Diceros bicornis minor: one gene and its partner. The protein of the gene in region 1 interacts with the protein of each later gene in a pairwise test. Links are inferred from orthologs where the notes say so. Each region holds a gene or a part of one and is shown in the gene's direction. Other genes may lie near its edges. The genes, in order: BCAR1 and NPHP1.

Region 1 (15,585 bases):
ATCCTTGTTCTGTAGTCTCACTGTGGCCTGAGTTATTCAGTGCCTAAATCAACATGCCCGGAGGTCAAAGAGTAAGAAGGGAGCCTGCCTCTGCTCACCAAGGGAGCTTTGCTCACCCTCACCCCCTAAAAGGGAGACTCTGCTCCTCCTTCCAGGGGCGTCTGTCATAGGAGTTCTCCCTGGCCAGGAAAGAACCGGAAGTCAGAAGACCCGGGTCCTAGCCCCAACTCTGTGATGCCTTGGCAAAGTCCCTTCCTCTCCCCTGGGGCTAATTCCTGAGTAGGGAAGGGGGAGGATTTGGGCTGAGACTTTTCCTCCCCAGAGTGTCCCAGGACAGTGAGTGGGGTGCTGAGTGGGGAAGGGGAGAGGGACAGGAAAGTAATGGAAATCCCATCCCCACCTGTTTGCTATACTTAAGGCCTTTCTGCAAGCAACTCCCCAAATATGCCCAAGGGCCCGTGAGGAGAGGGAAGTCAATAACTAGTGGCTCCTTAAGTGCAAAAGAACCCGTAGAACTGCAGGCTCATTGACTCATTCGCCTCTGTGGAGCACGCTGGACGTAACTGGCCCAGACTCCCCTTCTCAGGGGCACCAAGCCCCCAGTTGCTGGGAGAGTTGGCTGCTGACTGCTCACAGCTACCCTTCTCTGGAAAATTGCGTTTGGCAGAGTGGAACCTGCCTGGCCAAAGGTTACACCCCACCCCACACCAGGCAGTGGTCAGTGTGTGGCCGACCGGGAGCCTAGCAGGCCAGCCTCCTACCCCTGAGTTGGGACCAGTTCTGTGGTGCAATTCACACTCCAGAGTGCCCTCGGGACCAGGCTCGAGCTGGATTCCAGCTGAGGGCACCACTTCCCTGTTCAGATCTTCCCCTGCTCCCTCCTGCCCACTTGCTCCTCTTCTCTCACGAAGCTACTTTCAGAGAATCCCTGTCTCAGGCTCTGCTTCTAGGAAATGACAACCCCTACAATGTCCTGCATGTATTAGGTACACAATCAATATTTCTGTGTAGGTCTGCTTACCGGGGGCTTCCTTTCCCCCATATCGGGGTTTCCTCCAGGAAACAGGTGCCCAGCAGGAGTCTGATGCCTTAAAACACTGAGAAATTTGGTAAGCAGGGGAGAAAAAGACACATCATTCTAAGGAAATAGAAGTGGATCTCAAAATGGCTGGACCCATCTCTCCCCAGCACCCTCGCTGAGCACCCCACACAATTGCCCCATTGCACAGAAGAGAAAATCGAGGTCTGAAGAGGGGTGACTGGCCCAGGTGGGATGGCAGAGCCGGGGTTTGAAAGTAGGCCTCCCCACTGGGTACTGCTTTCTTTCTTTTTTTTTTTTTTTTTAAAGATTTTGTTTATTTATTTATTTTCCCCCCAAAGCTCCAGTGGATAGTTGTATGTTATAGCTGCACATCCTTCTAGTTGCTGTATGTGGGACGCGGCCTCAGCATGGCTGGAGAAGCAGTGTGTTGGTGCGCGCCTGGGATCTGAACCCGGGCTGCCAGCATCAGAGAGCGCGCACTTAACCTCTAAGCCATAGGGCCGGCCCTGGGTACTGCTTTCTGAAACCTTGGTTTGTCTCTCCCCAGGAGCAGGTGGGGCTCAGGCTGCTGGACCCTCTTGGGGAGCCACTCTCCACACTGGCTTTGCTGCCTACACAGGCCCCCTGAACTCTTGCTCATCCTTCAAGCTCCTGTTTCAGTGCTACCTCTTCCAGGAAGCCTCTGCCATCCTAGGCAGGCCAGGAGAGCAGAGCCTACAAGTCCAGCTTCTCTATCTGGGTCTGTCACTGTGTCTCTGGGTCTTAGCCTGGCATTCGAGGGATGTCCCACGGTGAACATCACTCCATCCCACTCACGGTCTGTCATCCGGATGTGCAGCCTTGTCTTTCTAGAACCTTCTGCCAGACATTCCTTCTCTCAAGCATTGAGCCCAAGGGCCTTGTATAAAGAACTTGCCCAAGGTTATCTTCGAGGCCAGAATTTGGGCCAGCCTCCAGCATCAGCCTCCTCTCCGCTCAGTCCCATCCCCCATCCTTGGCCCCATCCCCCATCCTTCGGGAGTGGGTGTCTCCTGCCTTGGGGGAGCATGAGAAGTAGAAAGCTCCTTGGAACAGCAGGCTGGTGGGTGGAGGGTGGAGAGACTTGAGTCAGCAATTCTGACAGCCCCAGCATTTAACTGATGCTTCCCATGTGAAGGGTGCCACACCATCCCTTATATGCCTTATATCCTAGTCCTTCCAGGACGTTTGAACCAGGGCCACCGCACTGCACAACTCTCGGGGTGGCGGTGGGGGGTTTTCACATAGAATAAAATAAGGATGGGGCTCCTTGGAGTTGTGGGATGCTTCACTAAGCCCCATTTGACAGATGGGATGAGAACATGCTTAGAGAGTAAAAATACTATGCCGAAGCTCACAGGGTAGGACCAGAACCCAGGCCAGCCTGGTGCCCAGACCTGTCGCCCCACCCTGCCACTGGAGGTCAAAGGTGACAGGGAGCCCAGGTTCTTGCCAAAGTGCAGACCCAGCTCCCTACAGCAAGTTCCTTCCTGTTTTCACAAGAGTCAGTCTCACTCCCAGGGAGTGGGGAGAATTTCCCAGCGCCCCTGGGGCAGAACCTTGGCCTCCAGGCAGCAGAGCAGCTGATGGGGGTGGGGGCCTGGTGTTCTTGCCTCACTGAAAACGTGAACTGCTGCTCTGGGGACTCCCACTGGTGGCCCCAATGTGGCAGCTGCTCCTTTGGGCTCTTTAATAATTTAGAGAATGTACACTATTCAGCCAGGCGGCTTCATCCCTGGATTCAGAAACACAATGCCCTGGGGATTGTTTCCAGCAGAGAGTGAAATTCCACTTGTCACAGTGACCAAGTACGCAGCCCTGTTCCTGGAAGGGGCTCTGGTCTCTGGGTGTTTACAAACATCCTAGAAGACCAGGAGGCCATCGGCCAGGGCCCTGGACGCTGAGGTGGGAGCCCGGGTTCTGCCTAGCTCGGCAGGGGGCCCCTGGCAAGTCCCTTCCCCTGTGTCTCCTGCCTGCTCCAGGGTGATGGGGCTGCGAGAATCGGTGTGTGAGTCCAGGGCCTTTTTCTGTTCGCTATTCTGCTGCACCCCCTCCCCAGCCTCACTTGGTGTCTGACCCTGGGAAAGATCCTTGCACCAGGCCCCAGAGGGTCCATAGGAATATGTCCAGGATGTCTTGCATTTCCTAGAAATTGGCAATTGCATTTTCCCCTCAAAAAGTGTTCTTGAAAAAAAAATTACACTTGAAAACATTTTGCTAAGTGCAATAAGCCAAACACAAAAGGATAAATATTGTATGATTGCACTTACATGAGATACCTAGAATAGGCAAATTCACAGAGACAGAAAGTAGAATGATGGTTGCCAGGGGCTAGGGGGAGGAGGAGAGGGGAAGTAATTCTTTAATGGGGACGAAGTTTCTGTTTGGGATGATGAGAAAGTTCTGGAAGGGATAGTGGTGATGGTTGTACAACATTGTAAATATACTTCATGCCATTGAACTGTACACTTAAAAATAGTTAAAATGGTAAATTTCATGTTATGTATGTTTTACTACAATTTTGAAAAGTGTTTACTATAAAACAAATTGCACAAGTAATAATGTTCATTTGAGAAACATTAGAAAATAGAGAAAATAATTTTAGTTACACCAAAACCTCCTCCCCTCCTCCAAAAAACAAACAATTAGTCTCCTGTGAGATTATAATCCACGAAGACAGAAAAAGCCCTATTTATTAACCAACACAGTACTAAGGTCCCAGTAGGCCCTCCCTAAATATTACACAATGGTGAAAAAAATCCTACCCCCACCCCAGGATAACCACAGCTGATATTTTAGTATCTGTCCTTCCACACTGTTCCCAATGTAAATAGATGACATAAATATAAATATATGATTTTTTATGAAAATAGGATCCAACTGTACCTATTATTTGGAAGCCTAGTTTTCCTAACTTAACAGTATATTGTAAACATATTCCCATGTCATTCCATATCATTAGTGGCAGCGCCCAGGATTGGATTCTGTCGTGTGAATATTCCATGATTTGTTTAACTGCTGCTTATTACTAAATCGTTCCCACGTTTTCCTGATCATAAGGAACGCTGCAAGTCACGTCCTTGCACGTATGTCTTTGGCCATTTGTGAGTGCATTGTTTAGGGTAAATTCCTGGAATTTCTGGGTCAAAGGGTCTGTGCCTGTTGGGAGTTTTTGCCTCGTCTTGCCAGACTGCATGCTGGAGCCACACATCATTATAGCTATTCCCACGAACAGCGAGGGATGCTGCTTGAACTGAGTGAGAGGATTCCTGCGTTGGCCAAACTCAGCCATGGCGGAAGTTCAGTTTGTGGGGGCCAGGGGTCCCCCTTATACACGCCTGAATCCCCGGAATCTATGACTAGGTTACCTTACAAGGCAAGAAGTGCTTTGCAGGTATGATTAAATTAAAGATCATGAGATGGGGAGATTTTCTTGGATTATCTGAATGGGTCCAGTGTCATCACAAGGTTCTTATAAGAGGGAGTCAGGAGTGCCAGAGTCAGAGAAGGAGATGAGATGATGGAAGCAGAGGTCAGAGTGATGTGGGGCCACAAAAACGGGCCAAAGAATGCAGGCGGCCTCTAGAAGTTTAAAAAGGCAAGGAAAGGGAATCTCCCCTCGAGCCTCCAGAAGGACTGCAGCCCTGTCAACTCATTTTGGATATCTGACTTCCAGAACTGTAGGATCAATTTGTGCTGTTCTACACCACTAATTTTGTAGTAATTTGTTACAGCAGCAATAAGAAATTAATGCATCTCCCCGCTGCCACCACGTCCTGAAGCCCCACTGTCTAAGGGACGATGGTTTCCTTCTGCACCCAGCAGCCTGATGACCTGAACATTACTCCCTCCCCTAAGCAGATGCCCCCCAGGCAGAGTATACCCAAGGTTCTGTGCATGAGGGACAGCCAGGGAGGTGCCCTGCCCCAGCCCCCAGGACCCACCTTCAAGAGACTGTGAAATTACCCTCAAGGATGTTGGAAACTGGGCTTATTTAAGGTCATGAAGTAAGCGTGCAGTAGTGCCAGGACCAAGGCCTAGCTTGGCAGGTCAGTGGGTTCCCCATTCACTCCACTCAGCTGAGCTTCTCTCTCTTGCCAGTCTGACTTGCCTTCCTGGGGAGAGGTAGTCATTAACACTTTAGAATGAGTAAGACAGGACATCTGGCTCTGGGTACTCCCCCACCTGTCAATATGGTGTTACTACAGAGTAGTAGAGCTTGAATCTCATGTTGAAAACCAGGCTTGGGGTGGGTAGTTCCCTTGCTCATCCACTCCAGAGCTCACAGGGTCCTGTCAGCCACCCCCAACCGTGAAGTCTCCCTCTAGGTCTTCCAGAAACAAACTCAGTTCTTGCCCTCTGAGGGAGGTGCTTAACCACACCTGGCTCATGTGTGTGGCAATGATGGCCCCTGCTGTTTCATAAGCAAGGATTCTAGTGCCCTGAACTTTACCTGAGTCATTCAACCGAATCCTTTCAACCACTCAGGGAGTTTTCCCTCTCAATTCACAGATGAGAAAACCGAGACCCTGGCAGGTTAACTCACATGTGCAAGATCATTCAGCTGCCAGGAGCAGAGCAGGATTCAAACCAGGTCTGACTGCAGAGCCCAGAGCTGCCTGGGGTTGGCCTGCAAAAGAATTTCGTTTTGGCTTACTCAGTCAATGGTTCAAAATCAAGAGATTTTATAAAACAATCTAGATTTCTAGATGCTCTTGAAAAAATCTGATTCACCAACTGAAAGAACTCCCAACAGCCAAAGCAGGAACAATTGGAGCAAGAAAATAAAGTAGTATTGGATTATAATCCAGACTACAAAATAAATATCCACAAGTTCATACTAATATAAATAAATGATTGAATAAATAAATAAATGGAGAAGAGACAAATTTCCCATACAGAAGAATTCCAAATAATTTATATAGATATTCCATCCTCAAGGAGGAACATAACTCCACTCCTTCCAAAGAGTACAGTATAGAAAGTGGGGGAAAAAAGAGTAAGTTGATAGTGGAGAAACCTGACAAACACTGTCTCAGCCAGGTGATCAAGGTCAACATCAACAGAGATAAGTCCTGTTGATAGTATGTATCCTTGATATGATGTGATGAGAAGGGCCTTTTACCTTTGTGATCTTCTTCCTAAAAAACCATAACCGCAGTCTAACCATGAGAAAAACATCGCACAAACCCCAACTGAGGGACAGCCTGTAATATCCCTGACCAGTACTCCTCAAAACTGTCAAGATCATCAAAAACAAGGAAAGTCTGAGAAACTGTCATAGCCCAGAGGAGCCTAGGGAGATGTGATGCCTAAATGTAATGTGGGATTCTGGATGAGATCTTGGAACAGAAAAAGGACAGTAGGGAAAACCTAAGGCAATGTGAGTAGAGTATGGACATTAGTTAATAAGGATGTATCAATGTTGGTTCATCAATGGTGACAGATGCACCATGCTAATGTAGGATTATGACACAGTGCCCACAGGTGCTTCCAAAGGCTCAGGGCATTCTCCTGGGCCAGGGGCCCCTCTGCCAGAGCGGTCCCCAGTTACCCTGGGAGGCAGAAGGAGAAGAAGCCACCTCCCAGGCCTCAGCCCCTCTAGATGCAGCAAGGCCCAGGGAACAGAGGCCAGGCTTGAGTGTTTGGAGAACTGGGTGTGAAGCTTGTCTCTGCCCAGATTTACTCTGTGGCCATGTCCAAATTCCCTTCCCTCCCAGTGCCAGGGACAACAATAACCCCTGTCTCCCTGGGGCCCTGGTCATCCCTCAAGGACCCTCTCAGGGGCTGGTGCCTGCTCAGGCCTCCCAGCTGTTACTTCTGGTGTGAACTGCTAGTCGTGAGGCCCCCAGAGCCTGTTCTCTGCAGGACTGAGTAAGTCATCCTGGGATCATTTGCCTGCTGGAGAGTAGGGGATGCAGGCAAGTGGTGAGAGGAGAGAGGAGCATCTGCTGCTTTCATAGACACCTGGTACTTGTTCAGGGGAGGGCGCTCAGTGCCCTGACGGGGCTCCTCTGGCTGCCCCCAACCCAATACCCAAGGCCCTGGGTCCCTGCATCAGAGTAAGTGAGGGTCTGGCCAGGGAACCTTCTTTCTGCACTAAAAGATGAGTTAGTGATGCCCTCCCTGAGTGAGCAGCCGTAAGCAGTTGTTGGGGGTCAGTTGGAGGCAAGGACTAGGTGGTTTGGAGGTCATGGCCCCAGCTGCACCCCTACCCTGGGTTTCCATTTCCCTGTGCCCAGCAGTGTGGAAGGGGTCTTTCCCCGCTGTTCAACCAGTTCTGGCAGGAGCATCTAGAGATGGGGCCGATGGGAGAGAAGACAGAAACAGTGGACGAAAAGAATCCAGCCAAAGTAGGAGAGGAGGGAGGAGGAGCCTGAGTGCCAGGAGGCAGGCTTAGTGAGGGAGGGGGCCAGCATGGCAGTGGGGGCCTCTGGGGCAGCGGCCGTGTGTGGCTGGGAGCCCGGGTGCCAGGCTGAGCTGCTGCTCACAGCTCAGGAGCCCCTGTGCCAGCTGGATGCGGGCGGGTGGGCACGGGCAGGGCTGCCTGCCAGACACATACAGAGCGCCCTTTGAGGAGGTGGCAGCTGTCGGCCCAGACCCCCCTCTGCTTGCTGTGGCCCTGCCTGCCCCCTCCAACAATGCCTTGCCGAGCACTGGGCTGGGGAAAGTGAGGTACACAATTGGGAACCCCCACTCAAGGGGTAAAGGGGGGCAATGCTGCTCAGTTGGAGCAGGGAGGGACCCCAGCTCATCAGTCCTAGAACCAGGACCTGGGCCTCATGGCAGCTCTCAATTTCCCCCTTTCTTGCACATCTAGTACCCCTCTCACTGCTGGTGGCCGCTGTTAGGACTCTCCCCAGGACCCGCCAGGAGAAAGACCAAGGGACCCTACCTCTTGGGGAGGAAGACTGGAAAGCCTCCAAAACCCCAAAAGATGATCTGCAAATGGGAGATTTTGAGAGCTAGGGAGCTGGGGGCCAGACCTGGGTCTCTGGGGAAGCCCACTTGGCACCTGTCACTGCTTCCTCCTTCTGCTCAGTCACCTTAGGCCTCCTGGCACTGCACACTTGGCAGGTGAAAGAGCCTGCACCCTGGGCACCTGCCCCTACAGACTTCCTAGGGGGCTGGAGCTGTCTGTCTGTCCCCCAGGTCCCTACCATTAGCCACAGCTGCTGCCAGCCAGCCTCATGGAACTGGCTCTGTCTTTCTTCCTCTGGGTGGGCAGCAGTGTCCACTGCCCTGGCCCCTGGAACCCTGGTCTAGGTGCTCACTCATTCTCTCTGGGCAGTAGCAGCCATTTCCCCTGTCTGGCTTTGCCCAGGAAGGGCCCCCAGGGAGCAGGGACAGCCTGTATGTGGTGGGCAGCAGAACAGAGTGGTCAGCGTTCTGCCTTCTAGTAGCTGAGGGATATCAGAGCTAGTCTGTTAAATGTAACATGTGAACAGCAAAGCCTACCTAGCAGGGGGGTGGGGAAATTAGGACGCACATGTATGTGCCCCCTGCCTGTGGGTAAGGTGCCTGGACACCATGTCAGATGTGGAACAGCTGAAGAAATTGGGGATATTTAACCTTGGGAAAGGAAAGCTCTGGCGGCTAATGCCTGTCTTCCAGTGTCTGAGGGCTGGCCCCTGGCACAGGGACGGCTTGGTTGTGGGTGGGCCGATGAGTGGGGGTTACCAGGAGACAGGATCCTCCCTAAAAGCCAGTCCATCTCTGACTGTCAGGGTGACCCGACAATGAGTCAGGCTGTTCCCAGGGAGTCGGGAGCTCCCTATCCCTGGGGGAGGGGCAGTGGGGGGAGCGCAGAGCAGGCAGAGGAACTCTGGGCAGGGCTGCGTTGGGAGTACCGGGGGTCTCTGGGCTTTCAGCCAGGGAGTGGGAAGGGTTCCTAGGAGCCGTGTTCGGCTGACCTGCAATCGCCTTCAGACACAGGGACTGGGAGCCCGGCCAGGACCACAGGGCAGGCTCCCAGCACCCTGGGCTGGGCAAAGCGGGGGGTAGGGGTTCTGGTCTCCAGAACCGGTTGGGTGAACAGGAGATGGTGCGACTCAAGGTGGCCCTTGAAGGATGCGTAAGGGGCGTAGACCGAGCCTCCTCGCCCCGTTGGGCCGACAGAAAACTGCCGGGGTCCAGGGTCCTCGCCTTTAACGCGGCCCCCGGTGGAGGAGACGGGAGGGGGAGGGGCGGCGTGGGGCGGCGCATGCGCGGCGGGGGCTGGAGCGGCTGGAGCGGCCGGACCGTCCGGCCGCCGGGAGCCAGCGGGAGCCCGCGGGGACCCGGACAGCCCCGGACCCCGCGCGGGGGCTCTGAGCTGCGCGGCGGACCGGAGCCCCCAGCCTGCCGGCGTCGCTGCCCGCCCGGGCCCCGGGAGCGGCGGCCAAGATGTCTGTGCCGGTGAGTACCGACCGCCGGCTGGGACCCGGGGTCTGCTGCCCCCGGCCGGGCCTGCGACCTCGCGCCGCGCGCTGAAGGCCTAATGCCGCTGGGGCTCCCGGGCTGGGGGGCGCCCCACCTGGGCCTTCTCGGGCCGGGGATGCGGGCAGGTGGGGGCGTCTCCCCCAAGCCGGCCTCTCTGCCCCTGCCTTTCTTTTCATCCTCTCCCTAGAGAGTCGGGTCGGGCTGGGCTCCGTGCTGTTCTCTCAGGGAGCCCCCCGGAAAGGCTGGGTTGGCAGGTTCTTTGTTGGCCCCCGGGGAACCCCTGGGATAGCTGGGCCAGGCAGGAGTCCGTGTAGTCCCTCAGGACCTCCTCCCCCACCAGGATGGCCAGGCCTAGTGGGGAGAGGTCTATGCTGCTCCCCAAGACCCCCCCACCCAGGACGGCTGATGCACTCACTTTCTCGGGAAGTTTTCCTCTGCCGCTGAACCCCAGGGCGCCGGGCCTGGCCCCTCCCTGCTTCTTAGCCAGGGGGCTTCTCTTCTCACCTAACACCCCCTCTGCCTGGCCCAGCAGGCAGGCTTGGGCAGCCCCCAGGCCTGGCTCCACACTTAGGCCAGCATCTGGAGGCATCTGGGTCCCACCTCCTGAGGGGAACAAGTGATCCTGGCTACCCCTGTCAGGAGGCCTCAGGTCCAGGCCCCAGTCAATGCCCGCTTTACAGATGGACAGACTGAGGTGGGGGCTGAAACGCTGCATCCTGCCTGGGAGGGGCGCCCTCTGCAGGCTGGAAAGCTGTGGCCTCTAGCCATTGTTTCACTGCTGAGTTAGGGGCTTTTCCCTCTGACAGCAAGGGGCGGTGGGCCAGGGCGCCCCTCTACCTGGCCTTGTTTCTGGAACTGCTCCTCACCTAGGGAACCTGATCCTTATGTTGAAGCAGACAGTTGGGGCTTCCTGGCAGGGTGAGTGGCTTCTTAATTAACCACCATAGAGTGTGTGGAGATTACTGGAGGAGAGATGCTGTGTAAGTGCGAAGCATTGTTATTATGGAATTAAAGATCCCGGCTCCTGCCTGCCTCCAGAAGCGGTAATGCAGAGTTACAGATGAAGAAATTAGGGCTTCCAGACCGTGCCGATGTGACCCCCCCATCTGTTCTGGTTCAGAGCATAATTGCCTCATCTTTAGAAAGAAAGAAAGAAGACAGAAAATGCCTGCCAACCCCTTCTTCTCTCCTGCTCTGCTTTATTGCAAAACTCTGGATCTCTTCTGGCCCGAGGACCTGCCCTGACCCTGTGGGCACTGGCCGGAGGGACAAGGTGGACCACCTGAGTCTGCTTGAGGTCCTGGGTCTCCAGGGCAGTGGTGAACAGGGAATGTGACTGAGGCCACATCAGAGCCTGGACGGGCCTCAGTTTGGGAGGTCAGCCATTGATTGGTTTGGTTGTCCCCAGTCACAGCAGAGATCTGGACATGGAGTCTGGGGTGGCAACCAGACCCCTTGCCTTGTAGGACTTTGGTAGCCTTCCTGGGCTGTGTGCCTCAGTGGCCCCATCTGTAACAAGCGAGGGATGGCGGGAGGGCCAGGGTCTGGCTGTGACTTGGACAGACAGGCACTGCTGTGGAGACTTGCAGCCAATGTCTGCTCGGTCTGTCCACACCATTGCCAGCTCCGAGTCACTGCCCACCTTCCCACCTGCAGCCACAGCCCTCAGTGATTCTGCAGGGGGTGGGGGTGGGGATGTCTCACCATCTGCCCCCTACGTGGCTGGCTGTCAGATCATCCTGGCTCTCTCCTGAGACCTTGGGCAGCGTGTGAGCTGATGGGGCTGGGAGGAGAAGTTCATTTTTGGAGCAGCCGTGAAATGTTTGAAAAATTGCTTTCATGTGCTGGTGAGTGGTGAGGCCCCTTGGAGGCTTCCACGCCACGCCCTGCTCTTGGAACCGAGAATGGTGATTGCCCATATGGTGCTCAGGACACATTGGGTTTTAAGCACACCCGTTCATTTGGGCAATCTTTTCCTGGATGGGGCTGACGCAGGCACTTTGGCCCACAGAAATTACAGGATACTTCAGAATGGAATGGGAGGTGATGGCGGGGACAGAAGAGGTTGGGATGGGCCAGGTTGAGCCAGGAGTGACTTCCTGAGTGTTAGAACAGGGGCACCCTCCAGGGATCAGCTGGTCTCACAGGAGGTCTTGGGCCCAGAGAGGGGAGGGCACACAGGCTCCTCCTGACTCCCTGCTCAGTGCTCCTTCCTCTACCCTGAGCTGAGGGCAGTGCTCACGCAGCACCTGGAGACGCACTTCCTGACTGTTCTCTGACATCTGCCTTCCTCTTGGGCATGACCATCTGGCGCCCCAGGCCTGTCTCTTCTCTCTGGGCAGGCAGGAAGCATTCGAAAGGAAAACGGCTGTGCCACCCACTTCAGACCCCTGGTGGGCATTGGCATGATCTGTGTTTAGGAGTGACAAATGCTGGCTGTCCCCTGGCACTATCAGGCCAGAAGTTCCTTGCTGTCTGTTCCTGCCTCTTGTTTCCTGTCTGTGAAATGGGCACAGCCATTCCAGCCCCTCCTCTGCTCCTTTATTGAGTGAGGGACGGGTCCTTTCAAGGAGTGAAGGTGCTGACGTGTGTGGAGTGCCAGGCACTGGGCTCAGGACGTCACAGCCTCAGGGAGGACCTGTGTCTTGCCAGGGTTGCATGGCCACTGAGAGATGGAGCCAGGGTGGGAACCAAGTTGGGCAGGATCCAAAGCCTGAAAGTGAGCGTCGCCCTGCGTGGTCTCTCTAATTGTGGGGGCTGTGGCCTGTAGAGCCGTCCACAGAGGCCAACCTCGCTGAGGGACCGACCCTCTTCTTGTGGCTTTCCAAGCATGAGTTTGTGTAACCCCTTCGGCACCCCTGGGAGATGAGGCAGTGGGAGTGCAGAGAGGCCAGGCAGCTTTCCCAGGGCTCTGTAGCAGGGTGAGTCTAGCCCTGCACAGCCCCAGCAGTGGGCAATGGAGATCAGTGGCCCAGGCGTGGCGCCTGAGTGAACCTCCACCAGCATCCCGGGGCCCACTTTGTGCCTGACTCTGTGCCAGCCAGTGTTGTGCTAGGAGAGCTGGGCAGGGAGCTGGATGCCTCTGCCCTGGGCTCGCCGCCGGCCTGGGCAGCCAGGCTCTGGGCAGCTGAGGCCTGGTAGAACAGGCTCAAAAGAGGACAGTGGGAAGAGGCCATGTCCAAGTCCAAAGTCCTTAGTTCAGTCCCCAAAGTGCCTGGCACACTCCTCCCGCCACATACCCTTGTCCCACCGGGCCGTGGCTCCGCCTGGCCCTCCTTGTGCAGGAAGTGATCTCCAGTCACTTCTGCTCACCCTCAAGTGCTCAGGTAGAGGGCATGGCCCTGGGAAGCCCCCTGGGACCCCCATGTGTGACTGTGTGTGTATTGTGGGTTATTTGGTTGCTGGCAGGCTCCCTTTCCAGACTGCAGGCTTCCTCAGGGTAGACCCAGGCGGTGCAGGCCTGCTTGGCCCCTCTCTCTCCACCTCATTGCCCCAGCTTGCCCTGGCCGCCCTCCAGAGGATGTGGTCCCGGGAGCACCGGGGAGCCCCCACAGACCCATGGCGGTGTCCCTATACAGAGAGCCTGGCGTCTGAGCTGCTGTCTTGGAAGCCTTTTTGGGGCCTGAGTGGGGTTCCCAGAAAGACTGCTTTGGGGTGGGAAGCATGTTTGGTGGGTCGAGGGCAAGGGCTCTAGAACGCATGGTGATGGCTCATCTCTACCTTGAGCGAGTTACTGACCTCTCTGAACCTGTTTCCTTGTCTATGTTATGGGGATGTTAACAGTACGAGCTCTTGGGGTTTTGTGAGAACTTGGCGAGGGTTGCAGAAAGCTCTTAGTAAGGCTGATAAATCATAGCGGCCACTGTTGTTGAGGTTGTTATCTTTATCCTGCTACGGCTGGCTGATGCAGTGGCCAAGACCCATTCCTGGCTCCTGCACAACCAGCCTGGCGAGAGGTGGTCAGCCCCCTGCCCCGGCAATTCTCTGTGGCCTGCCCAGTCTGCCTCCAGTGGCCCTTTCTTTGTGGTCAGTGTGGTTCCCGCCAAGGCCTTAATGGTGGGATGACCCAGCCCCTCTCCTGCCCCGACCTGCCTGTGGGACCCCTGCATCTTGAGCCTTGGATGGGCAGGTACTTGTCCTCACCCCACTGACAGAGTGGCCTCTAGTGGGGCCACCAGCTGGCCCCCTGTGCCCTGTGTGGGTGGATGCTCTGCTCTGGGTGCCCCCAGGAGTGGGTACAGAGTTGCAGGTAGTGGAAGCCACTGAGGCAGTGCAGGCCTGTCCTCGGGTGTGGTCTGCAGCAGCCTGGTCAGCAGGGGACGGGCAGGGCCCTCAGTGGAAGGAGAGAACCCCTGAGGCGGGTCCCGGAACCTTAATGGAGGGGGCTCAGGCCTGTGGATGAGACAGGTGGGCCACAAGGCTGTGAGGGTGGCACCCGCTGACCCCCACTGCCCATGGCTGGGCATGGGGCTTCCTACAGTCAGCTGTGCCTGCCCTCCTGTCTCCTTCTCCCTCTGTGGTCCTCTTGCCTCCCCAGCCTTTGACTTGCCTTGACCACAGCTGTTTGCTTTGACTGCATCCTAGTTGATCCCCATTGTTTCTTTGGCTCCCTCCTAGTCCCTGTTTGCTGGGCCATTGTCTCCCTCTCTTCAAGAAAAAGAAAAAGAGCTGGGGACAGATTGGGGACCTTGGTAGAAGTGGCAGTTGATGCCTGCTCTGGCAGGAGAGATGGTCACATGTTTTGGCTCTTAAGATAATCCCTTCTCTAAGGGAGATTAGAGGCTGAGGGGGCTTTTCACTAATTTTAATTTATTATTTAAACCCCACCAACTTCCGGGGCCGGCCCCGTGGCTTAGCGGTTAAGTGCGTGCGCTCCGCTGCTGGCGGCCTAGGTTCGGATCCCAGGCGCCCACCGACGTACCGCTTCTCCGGCCATGCTGAGGCCGCCTCCCACACACAGCAACTAGAAGGATGTGCAACTATAACATACAACTATCTACTGGGGCTTTGGGGGAAAATAAATAAATAAATAAATAAATAAATAAACAAACAAACAAACAAACAAACCCCACCAACTTCCAAGAAGGATTTGAAGCAGCTTATAGTGAAAGACACAAATAGTCTGGGATCATCAAAAGATCCAGAACTATGTAATGTATGGGGAAGGTAGGCATACACATTTAACTTTAAGCTTCCTGCCAGGCAGGGCAAAAAGGGTAACACAGTGGGTTTAGGATTACAATACCTATCTTTGGTATTCCTAATGCCATGTATTTTTTCCTCTGTGCTTTGTTTTATTTTTACCAGTTGAGACTCTCTTGTTGAGGCAGATTTTACATATAGTGAGATGGACAGATGTTAGGTGTACAGTTGACTAGTGTAGACCCCATGTAACCATCAATCAAGGCAAGATAATGAATGTGTCCCTTATCTCAGAAAGTTTGCAAGTGTCCCTTGTAGTCAGGTGTCCCCCACCCTGTAAGGTGGCCCACATTCTGATTTCTCCCACGTTGGCTTAGTTTCGCCTGTTGTTGAATGTTGTATAAGTGGAAGCATGTACTCTTTGGGGTCTGGCTTCTTTCATTCGGCACAATGGTGTTGAGATTTTCATCCACGTGATATGTATCAATAGTTCTTTCTTCGTGGCCATGCTGAGTAGTGTTCCATTTATGAATGTGAATGTATGTAGTTATCCATTCTCCTACTGACGGGTCTCTGTCTCTAGTGTTTGTATGCTGTGTATTTTTAAGTACTGGAGCGCTGGTGCTGGTGGTGTAATACCCTATTTCAGTGTTTATAAAACCTGATCTCCCATGATGTGTGCTTCGAGGCATGCCCAGAGAGTTGTCTGTCCCCCAAATGCTGGACCCCCCAAAGTTACATACTTGTTCCGAAAGTGGTGTGACCACCCGCCTGCCTGTTCACAGCCCTGCCCAGATGTCTAGGGTTTGAATTCCCTCTTCCTGAGTTGCCGGGAGGTGAAGCGTCTTAGGTTTTTGAGTCCCTGTGTTTCTCCCCACACCCCTGTCCACTCCACAGGTCCTGGTGGGGAGAGACTTCTAGGAGATCAGGAGGTAGGAGAGCGTGAAGTCTGTCCTGGAAGC
Region 2 (15,660 bases), on another chromosome or scaffold:
GGGAGCTGGCTGGGTTTGTGATTTTTTTTCTTTTGGTGGGGAAGATTGTGCCTGAGCTAACGTCTGTGCCCACCTTCCTCTATTTTGTACGTGGGAAGCCACTAAAGCATGTCTTGATGAGTGGTGTAGGTCTGTGCCTGGGATCCAAACCTGTGAACCCTGGGCCTTTGAAGCAGAGTGCATGAACTTAACCGCTACGCAACCAGGCCGGCCCTTGGGTTTGTGATTTTTAAATAGTCAGGTAGGTCTTGTAGAGAAGGTGACAGTTGACAAAAACCTAAAGGGGGTGAGGAAGTTAGGCATGCAGTTTTCTGGGGGAAGAGTATGCCAGGCAGGGGAAGTGCACATGCAAATGTTCTTAGCTAGCACCATGCCTGTGATCTCAAGAAACAGTGAGCAGGCCAGTGAGAGGCAAGGAATGGAAGAGAACCGATTACACAGAGCCCTGTGGACCACGGTAGGGGCTTTGGCCACTGCAGGGTTTGAGCAGAGCAGTGACATGATTGGACTTCTGATGTCAAAAGCCCACTCTGGCTGCTATATTGAGAATAGAACGCAGTGGACAGATATAGAAGCACAGAAACTTGATAGTGGCTATTGCAGTAACTTAGGTAAGAGACGACGGTGGCATGGACCCAATGGTAGCAGTAAAGTGAGAAGGGGCGAGAAGTGGTTTAATTCTGGCCATATTCTGAAAATAGAACCAACAGGATTGATCGATAGCTTGGATAGAGTATAAGAGAAAGAGAGAATGTTTCTGAGGCTTTTTCCTTTTTTTAAGTCTAAGCTACATACTGGACTATATATTCCAATTCATCAGAACGTGTCCTAATTCTTTTTTTTCCATTTCTTTCACTGCACTAAGCTGTCTGAGGGCAGATGTTGTGCTGTATTCACCTCTACATTCCCAACGCCTACTGCAGCATTCAATAGATAGTTGCTGAATAAAGGGACATTAAGCATGGCAGAGGTGAATTCACATTGGACCCAATGTTGTCTTTATCATCTCCCTACTAAGATACATTTTGCCTCAATTATGAAAGTCTATTTGCTGATGTCTATTCAGAGGCTAGGTACGACCCTCCATCTGAAAGAGTTCAGGCTCCTGCTGGTCTCCCTTTCACGGCTATATTAGTTTTCTATTGCTGTGTAACAAATTACCAAAAACTTATCAACTTTCCATGGGTTAGGAGTCCAGCCACCTGGGTCCTCTGTTAGGTTCTCACAAGGCTACAATCAAGGCATCAGCCAGGCTGATCTGGAGGCTGGATTGGCGAACATTCTGCTTCCAAACTTATTCAGGTGGTGGGCAGAGTTAATTTCCCTGTGGTTGTAGGGCTCTAGCTTTTTGCTGGTTGTTGGCATGAGGCATCTGGCTGTTCCTAGAGGCCACTCAGTGTTAGTTCTGGCATAGCATGGCCCTCTAGACCTGTGCTGTCCAATATAGTAGCCAGCTAGCTCCACATGTGACAACTGTGACTGAAGAAGCAAATTCAGAATTTTTTAAAAAAAGTTTACCAAATTTCATTTTAATTTAAAAACTGACGCTCAACACTTACTGGAGTTATTTTATTTTTGTCTCCAGTCATTAGAGAAATTTTTATGTGTCTCTGGAAGAACGTGAGTGTATGAATCTAATTTTTCAACTAAATTTTATGAAATCTAGATACTGATCAAGTACCTCCACTGAAAATTTAGTGTTCAAATTGAGATATGCTGTTAATTATAAAATCTACACCAGATTTCAAAGTCTTAGTATAAAAAAGTCTTATTAATAATTTTTATACTCATTACATGTTGAAATGATAACATCCTGTATATATTGGGCTTAGTAAAAAAATATTATTAAAAATAACTTCATCTGTTCCTATCTGTTTATTTTTTTTTAATGGGTTACCAGAAAATTTAAAGTTACACATGTGGCTCGCATTCCACTACTGAGAAAAATCACAAGCAGGAAAGACACACCACTCAAGTCAGCTAAAAATGCAAGGCAGTAGCTGATTAATGTCAAACCATAAACACCGTAGAGGCTCAGAAGAAGGAGACATGGGGACATCCAAGGCTGGGCAAGCCTTCAACAGACGGTGAGGGCCGGCCCAGTGGCTTAGCGATTGAGTGCGCGTGCTCTGCTACTGGCGGCCCAGGTTTGGATCCAGGCACGCACGACACACCGCTTCCCGGGCCATGCTGAGGCCGCGTCCCACATGCAGCAACTAGAAGGATGTGCAGCTGTGACATACAACTATCTACTGGGGCTTTGGGGAAAAAAAAGGAGGAGGATTGGCAACAGATGTTAGCTCAGAGCCGGTCTTCCTCAGCAAAAAGAGGAGGATTGGCATGGATGTTAGCTCAGGGCTGATCTTCCTCACAAAAAAAAAAAAAAAAGAGAGCGAGTCCCACGCATCTGCAAGTTGCAGGCTGACCCACCGTGCGCGCCAGCACGCACCGCCCTCTGGGCCTCCTCTGTGAACGCGCTGCGCCGTTTGACCCCGCCGACGCGCGGTAGGCCGCGCTGCACGCTGGGGGCCGCGATGGCGGACGTCTCCGAGAGGACACTGCAGCTGTCCGTGCTGTTGGCCTTCGCCTCCGGAGTGCTCGTGGGCTGGCAGGCCAACCGGCTGCGGAGGCGCTATCTGGACTGGAGGAAGCGGAGGCTGCAGGACAAGCTGGCGGTGACGCAGAAGAAGCTGGACCTGACCTGACGCCCCGCGCCCTCGGGCCCGGCCCCCTCGCCTCGCCCACGCGGGGTCTCGGCCGGCGCCGCGCCGGGCCCGCCTGCCTCCCTCCGCCTGCCGAGCCCGGCTCCTCCCGGAGTGTCGGTGAGCAGTACCTACAGGGGCGCGCTACGGAGAGACGCGGAGCCGGGCGCGTGTCTTGGGGCAGGGGGTCGCTGGATGGCTCGCGGGAGGTGACTTGCGCCCGCAGACACCGGAGGGAGGAGGAGGTTGTGTTTTCCCTAATAACTAACACTTGGGTGTCGTATTTTTAGATCACTGCGTGTGTTTAATGGGAATGTCTTACCACGTGTAGTGTTGCTGCACCTTGACACCATTAAACTTCAAAACGGAAAATACTGGAAAGACCGAAAGGGAACAAGAAAGAATGGACCCTGGAGGTGTTCCTGACACCCTTTTCTCCCCCTTATCGTTCTTTTCAGTAGTATCTTTGGTAGCACCGTAGTACATCGTTCCGTTCACGTTTTGGAATCTTCAATCTGAATTCTTAGGTTACTGGCAGGCTGCTAAAGTGGAAAGAGCAGGGGCCTGGAAGTCAGGAACCTTGTATCTAGTCCTGGCTTTTTTTAATCAGAGCTGTGCAAATTTTCAGGGTCTCAGTGTTCTTGTCTGTTAACACCAGACCTTATAGTTCATGGTTTAACTGTGAATAGAATAATTTGAAATTATAATAGAGTATTATAGAAGAGAATGATTTGAAATTAACCATTATGTATTTCTAAATTTTTTTTTCTCTTTTCTTTTTCCAACAGGTTGTCGAAGATGCATATAGACCACTGGACAGAAATGTTTTTCCTTGCACTTTATGAATCAATTTTATTTTTAAAATAAAAAAATTTTAAACATCTTTGAACCTTTTATTAAAAGGAAAAGGAGTATCTTGCCTGCCATATAGGTTACTGCATCAAGAGATCTCGATTCTCAAAACTGATATATTAGTGCTTTCCAGCAGATGTCTTGTTTCTTAAGGAACCTATGCTAGTTTCTTGGTACAACAGCAAAGCAGAGTTGGCCTAGGGACCATTATGAGTCCTTTTGGTCAGCTCTTTTACTGCGCCTGTTCAGGAAAGCAAGAGGCTGTATAAAAATAACTGAGGTAATAACTGATGTATATAGGATCTTTACACTTCCAGGAGACACAACGTAACTCCAAGTACAGAGTATAAGTTTTTATTGGCAGAAACTTCATTTGTCATTATGGAATGGACATGCAAAGGAGAAACTCGCTTGAATAAAGCTTAGTGATAAATCCAAACTATATTTAAAATTCAAGAGTGAGGGACCAAGTCCCTGGTTATTTTTGATTTGCAAAAGATGTTTTCTAAAACACTACCCTCATTCCTATAAAGAGTAATTTTGTGTCTTAGCCAATTTAATAGCAGCTCTATATTAACGTAAGAAAATTCAGATAAGTTGTTCCACAGAAAGCTGTTGTTTTTTTTTTTCTTCCATTTTACTGAGACCAAAATGCTTTATTACTTCCAACTTTATTTTCATTCTGTGAATGAAGTACTCTAGGACTGAAATATTGGCTCTTAGACCTCCATCCCGTCTGGGCTGCAGTTTGCTGAAGTATCCTAGTCACCATTCCTCATGGAGGCTCAAAGAGTTGAGGCTGCTTGAGACAAAGTGGGTTTCTTAAGGCCCATGGTGTCCCCATGCTGTTGGTATGTGTCTGGTTAAGCCTCTGGGTTATGACCAGTTCTGCCTGTTTGGGCGTATTTATGTGCCATATTCCTGGTGGACCTGGCCTTTCCAACGCTGATTCCGTTCCCATTACTTATGTGCGAGCCCTGACACACTCATCTTCCTCCTGTCTCACCTTAGTGTTCTGTCATCCCTGCCCCTCTAGGCATGTGCTGTTCACACCCCCCCGCCCCCATCCTGTCTAGGTCCTTATGTGGTTTTCAGCCCCCCCATGCCACTCAATCTTCCCTTCTTCTGCTTACTGCCTTTACACTGTCTGTGTATCCCCAGCTCTGTGGTGGCAGTTCCCCTTGACATTGCCTTGGTCGCCGTTTCTCCTCTAGCCCTCTACCCCTGGCCCTGCTTAAATGTGTTTGGTTTTTTTCCCTGAAAATAGTGCCTCACATGGAGATGTTACTTTTTCCATGTTAGCCAAAATTGGCAATGAGGAGGTTGGGACACGGGTTATGCCAGTCATGTACCCTGGAAATGACACCCTGTTGACTTGTTGAAATACATGTCTCACACTCCTCCCTGCCATTTGTCACCGTTTAATCACAGGAGCTACCTCTAGTGGCCCATTTTTACTTCCCTACCCTGCTTCTCTTTCTCCTCCACACTGGGCTCCTCAGGCTTCCTGCTGCATTCCACGTTGCTTCAGCTGTCTCGTGGACCTTGTCCCAGGCTTGGACCTCATCGTCACATTGTACTTGGCCTCTTTGGTTTCAGCTGGTAAACCTTCCTCTGAGGACAGCTCACGTTCTCCACATCTCCCTGTCTGCACTTATGGAACCGCCTGCTCTGAGACCCCTGCTTGTCCCATCCTCCCAATTCAGCTCATCACTCTTGCTGGGCTCCCTGGTTGGCTTAGACTCCATTCTCGCTTATACGTTTACCTTTCACCGCTGCTTTTGCTCTCTTTTTGGGCCTCCAAACTTAGCAGAGAAAGACCCTTCCCCTTTCTCCCTTGGCTACCACAAGTGCATTCTAATTGTAACTGCACCCTTCTGGTTTCTCAGCAGTGTTTCTCCGTGTTCCTTGAACTCCCAGTTGACATCTTTTATTCAGAGAAGACTGCTCTCAACCATATGAGGAGATCAAGGCCATTAGGCGGGAATTCCTTCATGTCTCCTCTTCCTCTCAATAGTTAGTCAAGAGCAATGGTTTTCAACAGGGCTGCATATTATAATCATCTAGGGAGCTTTAAAAATACAAATCCTTGCATGCCATTTCCCAGAGGTTTTGATTTATGTAGTTTGGGGTGTTCCTGGGCATTAGGATTTTTAAAGCTCCCCAGGTGATTGTGATGCTTAGCCAAGGTTGAAACCACTGGTTTTGAGGCTGTGTCTCATTAGCTTTCCTTTCTCAGAAGAGAAGATGCACCAGACCCTTCCAAGGGTGACTCCTCTCTGGCCTCAGCTGAATTCTGCATCTCCCCCCAGGACTTTCTTTGTTCTCTAGTAAACCATCTCTTTCTAGCATCTATACTCTCTGCTTTCCCTCTATTTGCAAACATGTGCAGATCTTGACTTAAAAAAATCCCTTTAGTTGACCCCATCATTTGTTAATTAGAAAAAGTGGTCCACTGTCACTTTCTTCCCAAATGTTTTGCCTGTTAACCTGCTGCAGTCTGCGCTTTGCACCCTCCAGAGCCATTGATAGCTATTAGCTATTTCTGAATCCTTACTTTTCACCTCCAGAGTATTTGGTAATACCAATTTCTCCCTTGAAACTCTCCTTCCCTCACTTCCCTAATAATACAAAACTTTCCCGAGTTTCCAAACTTCTACTCTTCGTGCCTTTTCCAAGTTCCTCAAACTTCAATCCTTGGTCCTCTGCTCTGTCCTTTCGTTTGGCTACCCCAGCCATTCTCTAGGCTCAACTATCACATCCAAGCAGGCCCCCTCCAAGATCTTAGTATCCCACCTGATCCTTTAATTCCAGCTTCACACTTTCAACTGTGTAGTGGACATTTTCTTTGAATGATTTTACTCTAGAACTCAAATGCAATGTGTCCAATTGTCTACAGTTCCATTGGCAGGGAATTCTGTACACGAGGTGATACTTCCGTGACAATCTTTTGTAGTTAGTGCAACTTCACGTTTCTAGTCTGATACCCTAGCTCATAAGCTCCTTGAGGCCAGCACCTTAAACATCTTGTCCCACAGGTCCAACCAGTGCTTTGCAACAGGTGCTCATAAATATTTGTCACTTTTTGTGTGTGTGTGTGTGTGTGTGAAGTAGACTAGCCCTGCGCTAACATCTGTTGCCAATCCTCCTCTTTTTGCTGAGGAAGATTGGCCCTGGGCTAACATCCGTGCCCATCTTCCTCTACATTATATGTGGGACGCCGCCACAGCATGGTGAGCAGTGCATAGGTCCGCGCCCGGGATCCGAACCTGCGAACCCGGGGCCGCTGAAGCAGAGCACATGAACTTAACCACTACGCCGCCAGGCTGGCCCAATATTTGTCACTTTTATTTGAAGTAGATTGTTTTCTTGAAGACCCTGAAATGGCAAAATGTCTCTATCCTCTTTGCTATAATCAATCTCCTGTTGGTTGGTTTCTAACCACCTTGTTCTACTAGTTCTACATTATGAATCTCTTGGAAGCCTTTAAATTCTTTTTCAGTGTCTCCCGTGAGGACGCAATACAAAATTGATATTCATGTTAACACTGATGGAAGGAAATCATAAGTTTTATGAAGTAGCTTGATCTCAAGAGAAACAGTGGCCATGGTTTGCTTTGGTGTCTTTGGGCTACCTCACTGCAAAGCTTTCTTGTTTTAGTTACTTTGATTTTCATAATGGCCTCAAGGGACGACAACAGAAGCAATGACTAGCATCAAGGTGACTATGCTGAGCATTGCAAGAAGTCAAAAGAAATGTAAATTAACGAAAAAGGAGGCAGTTAGCCGAGTAATCTCATCCCTTATTGCATACTAAATACCTAAGTAGTATTTCTCAAACTTGAACGTGCACATGAAACATTGGGGTATTATTAAACCATAGATTCTGATTTTGTAGGCTTGTGGTGGGGCCTGAGAATATGCATGTCAAACAAGCTCCCAGGTGATGTTGATGATGCTGATCCAGGACTCGAATACATGCTTGTATCTCTGAATAAGGTACCATAATGTATAAAGTCAAAGTCATCTTTCCACCTGAGGTGAACGAGAGTAATAAACTTTTGCATTCTTCCTCATTGCTCATACATACACACATATCTAGGGGGCTTATTAGTTTATTTTTACCAACACAGAATTATACTATATTCATAACCCTGTAATTTTTCCATTTAAAATTTGGAAATGCCTATAAATCAGATATAGAATATTTTTCCTAATTTATTTATGGACATATATTTAATTTAAAATACATAAGAATTTCATAAATGGTGGATTGTCTTCAGTGCACTTTTTTTTCTTTTTTGCTGACCTCTTACAAGATTGCTTAGAAGTCTGAGTTATTAATCCATTTAAAAGTATTTTATAGCACTCATTATTTTCTCATTTGTTCTTATAAGCATTTTTAATGGAAATACTATGTCTGGCCATTTAAGTGAACTTTTAAGTATCATGAACCATAATGGAGAAATTAATTCAAAATAAAGACACGAGCTACAAAAAAGCAGACAATAGCGAGCATTGTCAAGGATATGAAGAACTAAAACTCACACACTCCTGGTAGAGTGTAAATTACAACTAGGCGGTATCTACTAAAGCTGAATATAGAACATGCCCTGCGGCTCAGCACTGTGTACATATGTTCACAGTATGTATATGTGTAAATAGCAGCACCGTTTATAAGAGCCCTGACCTGGAAACAACCCCCATGCTATGCCCAGCAACAGTAGAATGAGTGAGTGTATTAGGGTGTATCATACAATGAAATGTCAGAAAGCAATGAGAACGAACAAACTACCACTACACACAATGATATAGCTGCATCTCACGGACGTGCTGTTGAGTGAAAGAAGTGGAGAAGCCAATACTCACTGCATGATTTCATTCTATAGTTTTAAAAGAGGCAAAACAAATTTTTGCTGTTGGAAGTTAGGACAGTGTTTCCCTTTGGTGTAGGCGGTGGAAGTAGGTAGGGACTAAGAGACTACGAGAAAGGAAGACCACTAGGGTGCTGGTAACGTTCTGTATCCAAATTTGGGTTATGTTACATGGGGCGGGGGGGGGGGCTGGGGGTGGGGTGGGGGGAGTCTGTTCAGTGTGAAAATTCAGCGAGGTGGACACGTGGTTTGTCCCTCTCTATTGTCCTTGAAGGAAAAAGTACGTAAATAAATGAACAGTAAGGCAGCGGGGCCTGTGGAATCAACATATGTGTTGTCTTGAAGAACATTCACTTGTATTAGCGAGGTTCATCAACTGCAAAGTGAGCTCAGATCATCATCATTCTTATTCGGCGAAGTGGAAAGAGTTTGGGAACTGGATTTAAAGGATTCAGTCCCACTTGGGGAAACGTCATTACGCTCTCCCTGAGAGTCGATGTAAAACGGGGCTCATCATTCCTTGCTCACAGGCTTGCTGTAGAACAGACAAAATCACCATCCTCACGGAATTCAGGACAGCGTGCAGAAGCAGCGCGAAACGAAACGTCAGCACGACCTCCAACAGCAAAGAATTAAAAACTGCCTTTTGACGTGAGGAGTACGCAGCAGAACCACGCATCATCCCGTGAAGGTCACGCAGGAGAGCTATCCTTGCAGTTAATGAAAGAGTTTTAGGATGCCGAAACTGTATTCCAGGGTTAGTGTAGCAGAAGTGCTATCAGAAAACAACCGCCGTGGTGAGACTGAGGCGTTGAGACGTGTCGTTTCGCCCGCCGCGGGGCCTTCTGCGGCACCCCTCACTCCAATCCTTCGGAATCGGCAGGGAAACTAAAGATGACGGCCTGCGCAGCCACCCTGAGCTGAGGGCTCAGCACCTGGGGGTGGCGGGTGGCACCGCCGGAGAGGACTGTCCCCGCAGCTCCACCGTCCCGCCTGCCCGGCCCCGGCACCGCGCGGCGGGCGCGCCGTGATGGCGTCACCTTCCGGCGCCGTGATGGCGTCACCTTCCGGTGCCGCCGCTTTGGTTTCCCTGGCGACGGAGATGCTGGCGAGGCGGCCGCGCCGTCCCCTCCAGGCCCTGCAGCGCCGCAGTCAGGAACTGAAGCAACAGGTACCGTCCGGCTGTCCCGCGGGGGACCTGGGCACCGCGAGGCGGCCTGGGCTCTGGCGGCGGGCGCCAGAGAAACGGGGCGCACCCCAAGCCCGGGAACCTACCCCAACCCACTTACCTTCCCGCGTTGTAACACCCCGCAGCATCCCGGCACCGAACTCCGATTCCAGCCCCTCACGCTCCCAACCCAACCCCCAGCTGCAGGTTGTACCTCCGGAAAATCGTGGCCATCGACTAAGCGCTCTTCCCACCCGCCTCCCCGCCCTAACGTCTCAAGCTCCAACACTAACAAGCCCTTAACGCCGCTCACCTCGAATCTCAACTTCTAACGGTGACCGTTTCCAACCAACTCTGCGCCCAACATCTCTCCACTCGCCATGCCCCCTTTCCTTTGAGCCGCCTGCGGTTGTTGCTTCACATGAACTCAAGCGAAGTAGGGGTCAAGGAATAGTCCTAATATGTAAGAAAAATATTAAGATATGACTAATGAGCAAAAGACATGAACTAAAGAAAAAATACCAGTAACTCATAAACGTGAGAAATGTTATCCTCAAAGATAATCAAGTAATTGTAAAGGAAATAAGATATCACAAACATTTAAAAAAATCACAATACTCAGTATGGGGAGGGTGTAATGAAACAGGTACTCACACGCACTGCCTCGATGTATAAGGCACAGCATTTCTGGAAAGCAGTTTGACAAGGTGTAGCAAATGTTCATGCTCCTAGGCTGGGTACTTACATTTTCGGGAATTTACCGTAGGTAATAATAAAAAAATTGGGACAGAGATTGATGTATAAAAGTGCTCGTCACAGTATTACTTATAGTAGAAAAGACTGGATACAACTCAAATGATCAGTAATAGGGGAATGGATAAGTAACTTATGATGGGCTAATAATCCTGTGATTAAAATTTTGTTAAAGAGATTTTAATGTTAGGGAAAATATTTGTGATAAAATGTTAAGTTAGAAAAAGAATATAAAGTTGAATATACAGTATTTACAGTAATACAGTTTTTTTCTATATATAATATACATAGAAAAAAGATAGAAGGAAACATGCCAAAATGGTAATTCTGTGTTTCTTTTCATACTTTTTGATCTTTTCAAAATTTTGTATACTGAATGTATATTACTTTAAAAAATAAGAAAAAACTAGTAATTAATGAATTGTTAATTTATTTTCTGAAATTCTTATTGTTCTTTACTAATTTTACTTTTTATTTTTCATTTGATCTATTACCGAGTATAGTTTCCACTAAATAAAATTATTTTATAATCTTTGGCAGACAAGAAATTTACTGAACACTTATATTTTATTCAATTTTGGACTCTTGTTTAAAAAGTACAAAAGATTTGATGGATAAATATTTCTCAAGTGATTCTATTGGAATTATGGTGGGGCAACAAAAATACTCTTCTGGTAGAAATAAATGTAAAACTTGAGGAGGCATTGACTTTTGCTGAGGTTTGGCTAGCCGTATCTAATTTTAAATTTGTTGGGCAATTGGGAGAACCAGGAAAAGCTTCAGAAGTAAACTACAAAAGTTATTATTAAAACAAAGATGAAACAAACAAATGATTATAAGGATTATTCAGCCTGGAAAAGAATTGGCTCAGGAACCGTTTGACAGTTTGGGAAGGGCTCTTGGATAGTGTGAGCTAATTCTTCCCTGTCCCCACAGAGGGCACAGGACAGATTTCCAACTCGATGTCCATCGGACAAGTAATCAAGAGCCCATCTGGGGCATGCCTGTGTTGACTGACTCTGTCACTAGATGTGTGCGAATTTTGTAAATAACAGTTATATAGATACAAAATAGAAGAGTAGAGAAGAAGCTATGGAACTTCTATTTCTCTTTTTTTCATTCACTTTTTTTCCTCCACATCATCTATAGAAAAGAACCCCCAAAAGAAGTGTGTGCCTCTTTTGTGGGTACATTGGCAAAGTTACATGTAGTGTTTGGAAAAAACAGGTCAAGATAACAAGATATAAGAATGAGGATAGGCAAATTCCTGGTATATTCTTACAATGAATACTACTCAGCAATAAGAAGGAATAAACTAGTAATCACACAGCAATATGAAAGTATCTCAAAAACCTGAGGTGTGAAACGATTACACAAGAGTACATACTTTCTGGGGTAATGGTAATTTTCTATATGCTGTTAGGGGTTTGGGTTACCCCGATATATGCATTTGCCAAACCTCAGCAAATGTATACTTAAGATTTGTGCATTTCATTGTATGTAAATTTTACACCAAAATATTGAACTCGAGTTAGTGATACCCATGGTGCGTTATTTTGCGAAAGTGTACTGATGATTGTGGTTTACTTTGACGTACATAAAAAATCAGATGGATCGATGAATGGATGGACCAAATAAGTCTAGTAAAATGTTAAAGGTAGAATCTAGGTGGTGGGTATACGGGTGTTCACTGTAAAATTCTTTCAACTTCATTATATGTTTAAAAGTGTTCATTATAAAATGTTGGGAAAAGAGAATTAAAATTTTATTTCCTAAGGTTATATGGCATTTAACAATATGATATTTTAAACTGTCTCCATTTGTTGCAGGTTGATAGTTTACTTTCTGAGAGTCAATTGAAAGGAGCTCTAGAAGCCAGTAAAAGGCGAGATATTTACCAAAGGTAAAGCATACTAAATTACTTAAACTTTCCAGGAATTGTACTTACATTCCAATGAGCAGTATTTACAGCCTAGAAATTGTTTGAGGCACTATTTCCTTCCTTTTATTTATTAGTACAGTTTCCCAAAAGACAAAATGATAATGGGAAATGATACATATTAAAGTAACAGTGAATGAAATTTCCCAAAACGTATTAAAATACTTCTTGCAATTATCTGTATGTACTGGGTCTAAATATTGAAATGATAAAATTAAATAGAGAATCAAAAATGTTTAAAAGAGGCAAGTTAACGTTTATTTTGTACTATGTATGTACCAAGCAGTGTGGTCCATGCTCTAAAAACTTTTTCTTAATTAATTTTCACAATAAGCGTGAGATACTTGTTAATGCAGATGAGAAAATTAAGGTTCACAGTGGTTAGTTAGTACATCTAACATTACTATGCTATAAGACATTGAAGTGGGAAGACAATAAAAATGTTTTAAGACGGCTCAGAAATGCAGAATTCAGTCAAGCAAGGGAAGGAACTTAACTGCCGTCTTCAGTGGAGTTTCCGGCTTTGGTCCCTTTGAATTAAATGGAAGAATTACATCATAGTTAACTGGATCTAGGAGAAACCAACCTAAACCTGAAGGTTATGGACTTGCTGTTGTGACAGCAACTATGAAAACTGTTCAGAGGGAATGTCTGTGGCTTAGGCAGAATTACAATAGGCCCTTGGCCTATGTAGCCCCAGATCCTGTGACCTCGTCAGAAATCTCTATTAGCAGGATGGTGACTCTAACTCTCTTGAAATGGGAAAACTGTTCTCTCGGTGGGTAAGTGTTTTTTTTGTTTTGACATTTTTTTTAATCCATGGGAGAGTTTAAAATTAAATTGAGTTTAAAATTCCATAGACATGATGAACTAAATCAAATTAGATTTTTAATGCTTTTGTATTAAGTTTAGGACATCATTAAGATAATCTGTATGTTGTGGGTATTTAAAGAGTTTATAACATTCAAAAGAACAAGAGATTCATTCTGTTAGTTTAAATGATTCATTAGAATCACTTGGAAAGTTTTACTTAAGTCAGGCATTCAAAATGTTAAAAGCAAAATAAAATTTAAATTTATTTTAAAGTGTTGAAGGGAATTTAATTAACTGTATTTATGAGTAAGATGGATTGTTTAAGGAATTTAGTTCAAGTTGAATTCATCAAACAATAATGAAAGAAAAAGTGAAGGTGATTGCACTTGCTTTACTAGATTTAAAAATAGAATAAGATTTATAGGCTGAATTTGAAGTCCCAGGGAAATCTAGGTTTTTAAATTTTATTTTAATAAACTAATAATTATTTTTAAACCCAAGTAACCATAAATAGTCTTCTCTGTGTATAAAATGATCCCCTCACAGTCATTTAAAAATGCACATTGACATTTGCATGTCTGAAAATATCATTTTGCCCTTATGTTTGATTAATAATTGGCTGGATGTGGAGTAAAAATAATGTCTACTTAAACCTTTGAAGCCTTGTCAGGTTTCTTTACACTCAGTGATGCTGATAAGTTTGATGATCATTGCCTTATCATTGACCTGTTTGGGGCTTTTCTCTCCAGCTTTAGTGTTTTGAAATTTCAGATGTATTCAGGTATTGTTTTTATCCTGCTCAACACTCAGTGGGTCTTTTGAGTTTGAAAATTCTTGTCTTTCATGAGTTCTGGGAGATTTTCTTTTACTAAAAGATTATTTGTTACTTCTCTTTGTCTGTTTCTTCCTGAAACACCTTTGAGTCAGGTATTTAATCTCCTGGACTGTTCCTTAGATTGCTCATCTCCCCCTTAACGGTTTATGTTTCTTTGTTTTTGTTTATGCCTGGAAGATTCTCTTGACTGTTTATTTTAACTTTTCTATGCAATGTTTTATTTCAGCAGCCATATTGTTAATTTACCAGTGTTTTTTCTTGTTCCTTGATCTTTTTTCATAGCATCATGTTTTCAGATTATCTCCTACTTCTGTGTTAGGAGATTGTTTTTTAAGTTCTCTTCTATTCTCTGAGTTGTCTTTGGTTCCTCTGGGCTCAGATTATTTATTTATTTACTTTTGGTTAGTTTTAAATTTTATCTTCCATGTTGCTGGTTTTCCTTATTATGCCTGGTGGTCCTTGGGTTATCCACTTTTATTTAAGAATAAGAGACTAGGTTGATTATTCTAGGGAGCTGTCACGGGTTCTTCTGCTGTTGTGTGTAGGTCTCTTTCCTACTAGTACTGTCTTCTGAATGAGAATGCGGTTCTTTGTACACGGGCAGGGCTTCTCAGGGGCCTAGAACTAGCCTTTAGTCTGAGGAGCCCCCAGTGCCAGCACAGGTTTATCCCTGGGTCTGATTCTCTCCAGGTCGTTCATTAATTTTAGAAGGGCCTTGTGGTAAGTAGAGAGGGATGAGGTAAGAGAAAGGGAAGCTGTCAGGTTTTCTGTAAAATAGACTTTTTAAAAAGTCAAAGACCTATTATAAAAGGGCCTTAACTACATCTAAACTTAATCGGTATCTTTCCTCTTTCCCTGAATAATGTAAAGACCTGAGATTGTCTTAAGGCTGATTTTCCTCTTAATAGCTTAGATGTTATGGATATTATTTAATTTACATAATATAGTATAGAAAGCAAACCCCAGCCATTGTGCGTGTCTTTTCATCTGTAGACCCTCATAATGCACTGCCTTGGACACACTTTGGTCAACCCTTCTGTCCTTCATACCTGCTGACCCAAATGGTGGCATTTTCTGCCTGGCAGATCATGTCCCTCTTATGCTTGTGTGGCTACTTCCTCTCTTTATAGAAGAATATGGTTCCATCCTTTTTCCATGCAGCAGACCTTTGTTGAAATCTCTTATTGACAGGTGGTCCCTCTTTCATTCTCTTGTGTCCAGGGTACATTACCTTTTAAAATGTTTTAATCATTTTTGTGGGGGTTTCAGGAAGCAGTGAAGATGAATATGTGCTTAGTTTTTATCCTAATCCAAAAGTCTTAAAATATCTGAACAGTTTGAGGATTTTAATAATTTTATAGATAGGAAGGAGATAATTATAATAAATAATTTGTTTTATTTGTATAGTATATAAAAATAGTTTTCCACTCTGGCTCTTACATGAAATCTCTGAGTCTAAGTTTCGGTTAGGATTCTTTTGGTCAAGTAACAGGACATCTGTTAAAGCGAGTGGCTTTGCTGTCAGTCTCATGCAACAAAAAGTCTGGGGGCAGGTTCTCCCAGGGTAGGTCGGTGCTCTTGATGCCCTCAAGGACCCGCCCTTGCCGTCCTTCTGCCTCGTCATCCTCAGCTTGTCAGGAATGGCCCCCCTCACTGTTACCAAGTCCGCAGCATCAGTATCTAAAAGCAGAAAGGAGGAGGATTCTTTACGTGCTGCATCAGGGA

Evidence for each region.
Region 2: the proteins of BCAR1 (region 1) and NPHP1 interact in a two-hybrid assay, tested with the Homo sapiens proteins (2 studies listed by BioGRID). The link is inferred for Diceros bicornis minor from reciprocal best matches to the Homo sapiens genes BCAR1 and NPHP1.

The regions. Positions count from the first base shown.
Region 1 is NC_080771.1:25,782,881-25,798,465, reverse strand, and holds the start of BCAR1 (breast cancer anti-estrogen resistance protein 1), read left to right. Parts: upstream 1-9,346; 5' UTR 9,347-9,445; coding exon 9,446-9,457; intron 9,458-15,585. UniProt on the Homo sapiens protein: Docking protein which plays a central coordinating role for tyrosine kinase-based signaling related to cell adhesion. Implicated in induction of cell migration and cell branching. Involved in the BCAR3-mediated inhibition of TGFB signaling.
Region 2 is NC_080779.1:17,505,043-17,520,702, reverse strand, and holds the start of NPHP1 (nephrocystin-1), read left to right. Parts: upstream 1-9,522; 5' UTR 9,523-9,529; coding exon 9,530-9,598; intron 9,599-12,177; coding exon 12,178-12,251; intron 12,252-15,660. Other genes in the region: MTLN (mitoregulin), read left to right, coding at 2,535-2,705. UniProt on the Homo sapiens protein: Together with BCAR1 it may play a role in the control of epithelial cell polarity. Involved in the organization of apical junctions in kidney cells together with NPHP4 and RPGRIP1L/NPHP8. Does not seem to be strictly required for ciliogenesis.